Linked DNA regions of Kluyveromyces lactis. The protein of the gene in region 1 interacts with the protein of each later gene in a pairwise test. Links are inferred from orthologs where the notes say so. Each region holds a gene or a part of one and is shown in the gene's direction. Other genes may lie near its edges.

Region 1 (4,014 bases):
AGCTTCTACTTGTGGGCCAGATTGTTCTTCTTGTTCTTGTGTGTCGGCAGCTTCTACGCCAGTTTTGGTCGCTTCTTGAGAATCTGGTTTACCTTCAGACTCAGCATTTGCTTCATCTAATTTCTTCTGCTTCATTTCAGCATCCAACTGAGCAGTTTGAATCTGTTTCTTTTCTTGCACTTTCTTCAATCTATAAAACTCTTCTCTATCCAATTCGTCTAGCTCGGAGTTGATATAAGCAATGGTGTTTTCCGTTCTTGGAATGATCACATGTTCAATGGCATTCACTCTACGGTTGGTAACTTTGATAACTTCGTCCAAGATAATGAAAGCCGTTTGTAACGAAGCCAATTCAACTAGTGTTTCAACAGCCCTTGAGTAAATTTCCTTAGCACGCTGAACTTGTTGACCACCACGACCTAGACCTGTCATTTTGAAGTCGTTGATGTTGGAGTCGATGAATGATTCAAATTGAGGCAAGTACACACCACTCACGTTTTCTTGCGTGGCCCTAACTTTGAATCTTGCATTGGCAACATTCTCTTGAACTTGGTACCCTATATTTTCACCTGTAGCATATGTGACCTCCGCCAAAGAGAACGCAGCTGTTTGCATCACTCTGCCCATCTTCTGCTTTGAATCATCTATTCTTTTAGTGATATCACGGAATCTCTTCGTTAATGCTTCAGACTTTCTCTTCAACAAAGAATAACCCTGATTAGCACCCTTTAACTTAGTCTTCATAAGACCCAAGGTCATACGAGTGGGGAAAACCTGTTCCCTATTACTAGACATTTTTCGATAAAATTCAAGATGCTAGGAGTGAAGTCGTTCCTTCCTTGCTGTAATATGTTATCAGTACGCTTAGTACCAAACTCACCTGATTGGTACAGTAGAAAAACAGTTCTTTTCAAAGAAAAAGCAAACGATTACAAGTAAATGTGTTCCAGGTTGGATACTTGTCAGTGCCAGCCTAATTGCAACGTTCTGCCCCAGCTGATATATGCCCCCCTTTTCTACCTTTCTTTCGTCAAATGATTGAATGTCTTATATTTCAGATATTTTGAAAATTGGTTAATTTCGAAATTTAGATATTATTTCATTTACGGTGATATGTCAAAACGTTTAATGAGATGAGTTACAATTAAAGCTCCATCTAAGGTAAAGTTAGTGCACTGTTTTTCCACCAGGTACTGCGAGAGACATATGTTTCGATGGAAATAGATAAATTTGTCAAGGAGGAAGATATTCCGTTTGAGTATGGTGTTGTTAGAGAAAGAGACAATGCTGTATCATGGTCGAGATATTTGGCAACTAAAAGATCAGCAGGCGATGAGTTGAATTTAGATTGGCTATACGAACGTTGTTTGAAGGAGATCAAGGACGACTGGCATCTATGGAAAGAGTTCTTGAAATGGAGGATAGAATTATTGAACGATTGTGATATTTTCAGGCACAAAGATGAATACAATAAGATATCGTTACTATTCGAACAGTGCTTAACATCATGTGGCAAAGTTGGGGATGCATGGATTATGTATATGGAATGGGTAATACAGTTTAAGGATTTGAAGAGGATTAGAGAACTGCTTGGAAAAGCGCTACGATCAATGTCGTGGGAGTACCATGAAGCAATATGGCGTGTTGTCATCGATTTCATTATCAATGAATTGTTAATAGACAACAAGAGGTATGAACTTTCTTTAGAGGATTCCATCTACTATTTTGTTCACGGAGAGCATTCGACGAATTTTGATACAGACCTCTGGTCTTCCTCAATCCTACAGAGATATTCACTTATTTGTGACGACATAGAGCCTTTATTGATCTACATTTTTAAGACTCATGATTGGAGCACGATCGTTCGAGTATTTGAAAAACATCTATCACCTAATTTAAAGCCATCTCAGACAAGTTTATTTGAACTTTACGTTAGTTACATCACTTCAATGATTCTTGTGGATAATTCAGCAGGGGTTGCTGCGGTAGTGGACCAATGTATCGAATTATTCCCTTTCAAGAAGGGTGAACTTAAGACATATTTGATATTTAACCTGATACGTCAAGGAAAAATAACGGAAGCTGAGCTGTACTTAGAGAAAGTTATAAGCGAAACTAAAGACATTATCGAATTTTCTGTATTATATGATTTTTGGATTCGTATGGAGGAGCTATTGACCCAAGAATTAATTCAAAAGATGAAAGACGATAATTCAGAAAAGCAACGGCTGTTCGCAAATATAAGACTACATGCCGACACTCTAACCTCATTAATAAAAAACCACACTATTAGATTAAACGACTTAGAATTGAGGCGAGAACCCAACAACATCAAATTGTGGCTAGAACGAGTGAAGCTTTTTGATACCATCTCTGATAAAGCTAAAGTTTATGCAGATGCTGTTCTTACCGTGGACTATAGACTTCAGACTACTCCAGGGCTATTAGGAGAATTATGGTGTCAATATTGCAGACTTTTTGAAGAGGATATTGAAAAATCCGAGGTCTTGCTGGACAAAGCCACTAACGTCCCTTTCAAATTTTTAGTAGATCTTGAAAATGTTTGGTTATATTGGTGTGAATACAGACTAAAAAGAAGCATTGACGATGCCATAAAAGTTTTGTCCGTTGTATTAGAAATACCAGATAATCATGAATTACTCCTACAAAAATTTGAGAAAGGAGAATCGCCAGCACAAGCAGCAATTTTCTCATCTAAACGCTTATGGGCAATGTACCTTGACTTATTGGAGGTCAAAGGAAACTATGGTACAGCTGTAAATGCGTATGAAACAGCAATACTCATCAAGGCAGCAACACCAGCCATGTTTATTAATTATGCGTTATTAAATGAATCTTCTGGCCATCAAGCAGAAGCTTTGGCTGTTTTCGAAAGGAGTGTTGAGATTTTTCCTCCAAGCGTATCGAAGTCTATTTGGGATATATATCTGGATGTGGCACTCAAAGCTGATATCACTAAAGAGCAAAAAAGAGATATTTTTGAATCTGCTATTAAGCTTGCAGCTTCAGGAGTGGCATGTGTTTCGTTCTTTGAAAAGTACAGCGACTTTGAGTTAAACCTTGGTTTCCACGAGAGAAGTGTCGAGATTTTGCACAAAGGAGCCAAGAATATTTCGGATCTTGAAAGTAAATGTACTTTATGGGAAGAATGCATCAATAGAAGTGAAAAACAATTGGACGTCAATCACACCAGAAAACTATATGAAGAATGTATAGAAACATTGCCCAATTCTAAAGCAATCAAGTTTCTACTTCCATTTGCTATCTTAGAAGAATCGCGTAATGAGGTTGCTCGTTGTAGAGCATTGTTAGACTACGGGAGCAAATTACTGAAGCCCGCACAGAATGAAGAACTTTGGGATTTCTGGAGGAATTTCGAAACTATGCACGGTACAAAAGACTCGTTCAAGAACATGCTAAAAGCACGTAGGTTCCTAGAGGACACAATGAAAGTAAATACAGAGGAAGTATCCAGACATGCAGATAGCATCGAATTTAGGGCGTCAACTGCGAAAATTAGTGGAAGCGGACCACCAAGCGCAGAAGATAAAGGATACTCAAATACGGCTGAAATTGATTTAGGTCTATAAAATGGATATATATTGATTAAAGTTGATAATGGCATATCGATCAATCTCTTATGTTTTGTTTTGGAAGATGTCGTATTGTCTTTCTTTGATGACGTGTAACATACAAAAACACTAGTATCTTACTGTTTTTCGACCCAATCAGTTGAACTCATGTGGGATAATCTACTTAGGGCTCTTGCAAATGCAAACCGTTCTTCATCTAATGCGAAAATCTGTGCTTTTTTGGCAATATCCTTAGAAAATCCGTGTTTACTGACCAATTCATCCTCTACTTCAGGTTCATCTTCATGTTTCATTTGATCTGCTGGTTTAAGCTCATAGTCGTTGACAATATCTTCTGGTTCCACGAATAGTGAGGTGAAGTCATCTGCACCAGTGGTAGCTAATTTACCACCGTTATCGT
Region 2 (3,908 bases), on another chromosome or scaffold:
GAATGAGGCAGTTCTGGTACAGTTTCTGCAGGTACATATGGTGGATTAAAGACAAGCAGGTCGACCTCATTTTCCCTTATTGAAGACGTAAGGTCTGTTTGTAATACATCAAAATGGCTATTCTTGCAACCATTCTTCGAACAAGTGTCTAAGGTAGCGTCCAATGCCCAAGGGTTCAAATCAGTTGCCAAATAAAGTCCATTGGCGTTTGGTATACCATTTTGCATAAGAAACGTAGAGACTATCCCAGAACCAGAACCAATTTCTATAGTCAATGGTACTGCGTCATTGAACCTGTTATTCAACCAACTCAGATCAGCTTCTAATGCATCTAATAAAAGAAAAGAGTCCTCGCTTGGCTCGTATACTTTATTATAATCATAAGAGACGTATGGTGTAGCTAGCATCGCCCTGTTATCCTAAGCCCTGATGAGCTATAGCTCGCATCAATATCTGTTCTGCACCTGTATCTTTTCAAACATGGAAGTCATCGCATATATAATATTGTATTTGAAAAGTTGATATTGAACAATAACGTATGCAAAAGGTCATCTAAAAGAAAGTAATTAAATTGAAGCTTAACAACTAGTCTACTGTTTGATACAACTATTAATCACCATTTTCAGAGAATCGACAATCAGTTGCTTGTTTGTGGTTGAGAAAGATGCAATTAAAGGTCAAGACATTAACAGGGAAGGAAATCTCCGTAGATGTTCAAAGTTCAGAAACGGTCTATCATATCAAAGAGCTATTAGAAGAAAAAGAGGGTATTCCACCATCACAGCAGAAGTTGATCTTCCAGGGCAAACAAATGTATGTTAATTAACTGATAATTCAGAACTGAGAAGAGTTTGATATCAAATTAATGTAGGGACTCTTTTACTAACTAGTAAGTAATGCTATCTTTAAATCAGAGATGATAACGCAACAATCGGCAGTGCCGACTTGCAAGATGGATCTCTTTTACATCTTGTTCTAACTTTAAGAGGCGGTTGTTGAGAGCCATGTGTCATTGCATTGCGAAACCTCAAGATACGTATGTGTATAAGTATTTTGCAGATAAATACCTGGAGGAATTACTCTGCATTTAATAAAACGACTATAATTATTGGAAGCTAACACTATGAATGACATAATTTACATTTACACGACCGTCCAATTATCAAACAAAGGAAGGATGTAACACATGCTTGTTGCTTTTCCTTGTATGCATGAATGAACCTTATAAATACATAATGATTCAGATATCAAATTTAGTGCGAACATTATAATTGTAGAAACAGATGAACTTAACGACAACGATGCAAACAAAAGTAAGAAAAACACGGATAACTTACCTGACTATACTGTAACATGGGTGACAATAGTTTATCCAATGAAGCCATCACTGCCGATAATATTTTGAAGGATGCCTTTAGCCAAAAGAAGCAGATTGCAGCTACTACGAAGGCAGATATATTAGATTTGGAAGAACTGAAAGACTGGCAACGAAGGAAAAGAACAGAGTATGAGACAGTTTTGAAAAGAAATAGGTTAGACCTTCGTCAATGGATGAGGTATGCTCAATTTGAATTTGATCAGAAAGATATACGAAGAGCTAGGTCCATTTATGAACGCGCTCTTCTTGTTGATCATGGGTTTATTCCACTATGGATTCAATACATCGACAGTGAAATCAAATGGAAAAATATCAACCATGCAAGGAACTTGTTAGACAGAGCAACAAACGCTCTTCCTCGTGTTGATAAGCTCTGGTTCAAATATCTTTTATTGGAAGAATCTTTGGGAAATCAGGGTATTGTACGAGGCATTTATACAAGATGGTGTTCATTTGAACCTGGTCCCGATGCATGGGACTCCTTCATCGAGTTCGAAACAAGGTGCTTGAATTTTGAAAATGTCAGGAACATTTACTCGAAGTTTGTTCTAGTCCATCCTCAAATAGATACCTGGTTGAAATGGGTTCGTTTTGAACAAACTCATGGAGATATATCATCCGTACGAACAGTGTTCTCATTCGCGCTAGACACACTCACAAGTTTCAGCGGAACACCACTGGTAGATATTGAACGAGTTATTGGTAGCTTCGCTTCCTGGGAAGCTTCTCAGGGAGAGTATGAACGATCTAGAACGTTATACCGACTAGCAGTTGAAAGATGGCCAATTTCTGAAGCATTAAAGGAACAGCAGATTCAGTTCGAGAAGAAGTTCGGCTCTTCGAAAAATATGGAGGACATAGTAATCGCTAAAAGGAAAGCCGAGTACGAGCAATATCTAAAATCAGATCCCTATCATTATTCTACTTGGTGGGTCTATATTGACCTGGTTGAGGAAAAATATCAAGAGCAATTGACATCAGCTTTCCAGTCGTTCATTGAATTGGCAAAGCCGAAGTCCCTGGTAAAGGATTCGAGCTGGAAGAGGTACATAAGAATCTGCGTACGATACTTGGTCTATCTAGAGCTCACCATTAATGATTTGCCTACGATACGCTCGGTTTATCAAGACATCCTCGACATCATTCCACATAAGAAGTTTACATTCGGTAAACTGTGGATAATGTATGCAGAATTCGAAATTAGGCAGAACAACTTGCTGAAAGCAAGAAAAATTCTGGGTGTGAGCTTAGGAAAGTCCCCCAAGCCAAAAGTGTTTAAATATTACATCAATTTGGAGATAAGGCTAAAAGAGTTTGATAGAGTGAGAAAGCTATACGAGAAATACATCGATTTCAATCCTAGTTCAGTGCAATCATGGTTGGATTATGCAGAATTAGAAGAAAATTTAGGAGATGAAGATAGATCAAGAGGGATCTATGATATCTCCATGAGCAATAATGTTGGATTATCTGAATCGGACCAGCTGATTGTCATTCAGCGCTATATCGCTTTTGAAACTGATGCAGCAGAATATGAAAAGGCTAGAGAGTTGTACGAGAAGTATTTGATTTTGAGTAGATATGACGTGAACATATGGATAAACCAGGCGCTTTTCGAGAGCACTATTCCAACTGAGACCCAACTAATAGCCTATCAACAATCTCATCAAGACGGGAATTTTGACGACGATGGCGAAGAGGAGTTCAGTTTTGAAATTACACCTGAGAATAAGCATCACACCAGGGCTATTTTTGAGAAGGCAATTTCATATTTCAAAGAACATAATGAAGATAAGAAACGCCAGCAAGTTTTACAATCTCTCCTGGAGTATGAGAAAGTTCATGGTAATCAAGAAACTTTGGAAAAGGTCAATGCTAGACAACCAAGTTTGGTTAGGGAAAAAGTTACTATCGATAACATTGAGCAAGAGTCATATAAATTGGATTTTCCGGACGATCGTGTTGCTCAACCTCCTATTGCTCGAAATCTTCTAGCTTTGGCAAAACAATGGGAGAAAAATTCCAGCTGATATGTAACTTTATATTCATATACAGATAATACAATTGTAGATTTAGAACACGCATTTAATCAGGTTGGCATATAGGCTATTGAGAAAAAATACGAATTGTATTAATTATTCGTTTCATTATCGGTAAAACTTTGTGGCAACTGGTTTGACGGTATCGAACTGGGTGTTGATATCGTAGAAGGGGTAAGCCCAGGTGCATTCATTGTCGGTACAGATCCTGGGGGCATTAATCCTGGAGGAACGTTGCCTGGTGCTGCTGCCAATCCTGGTGCTGCCAATCCTGGTGCTGCCAATCCTGGTGCTGCCAATCCTGGTGCTGCCAATCCTGGTGCTGCCAATCCTGGTGCTGCCAATCCTGGTGCTGCCATTCCTGGTGCTGCCATTCCTGGTGCTGCCATTCCGGGAGGAGATAAACCTGGGGGTGCCATTCCTGGAGTAGCAATATTTAAGTTTCCTTCAGTGATACCTATTCCAGACGTTGAATTTTCTGCAGCCAGAGA

The links. The genes of interacting proteins can lie anywhere in the genome.
Region 2: the proteins of SYF1 (region 1) and CLF1 interact in binary tests that used the Saccharomyces cerevisiae proteins (3 or more experiments, as listed by UniProt). The link is inferred for Kluyveromyces lactis from reciprocal best matches to the Saccharomyces cerevisiae genes SYF1 and CLF1.

What each region holds. Positions count from the first base shown.
Region 1 is NC_006037.1:178,055-182,068, reverse strand, and holds SYF1 (mRNA splicing protein SYF1), read left to right. Parts: upstream 1-1,214; coding exon 1,215-3,611; downstream 3,612-4,014. Other genes in the region: VMA8 (H(+)-transporting V1 sector ATPase subunit D), read right to left, coding at 1-795; AFG1 (Afg1p), read right to left, coding at 3,731-4,014. UniProt on the Saccharomyces cerevisiae protein: Involved in pre-mRNA splicing and cell cycle control.
Region 2 is NC_006042.1:1,644,239-1,648,146, forward strand, and holds CLF1 (Clf1p), read left to right. Parts: upstream 1-1,353; coding exon 1,354-3,408; downstream 3,409-3,908. Other genes in the region: MTQ2 (S-adenosylmethionine-dependent methyltransferase), read right to left, coding at 1-407; NEDD8 family protein RUB1, read left to right, coding at 665-813, 915-999; mRNA splicing protein MSL5, read right to left, coding at 3,510-3,908. UniProt on the Saccharomyces cerevisiae protein: Involved in pre-mRNA splicing and cell cycle progression. Required for the spliceosome assembly by promoting the functional integration of the U4/U6.U5 tri-snRNP particle into the U1-, U2-dependent pre-spliceosome.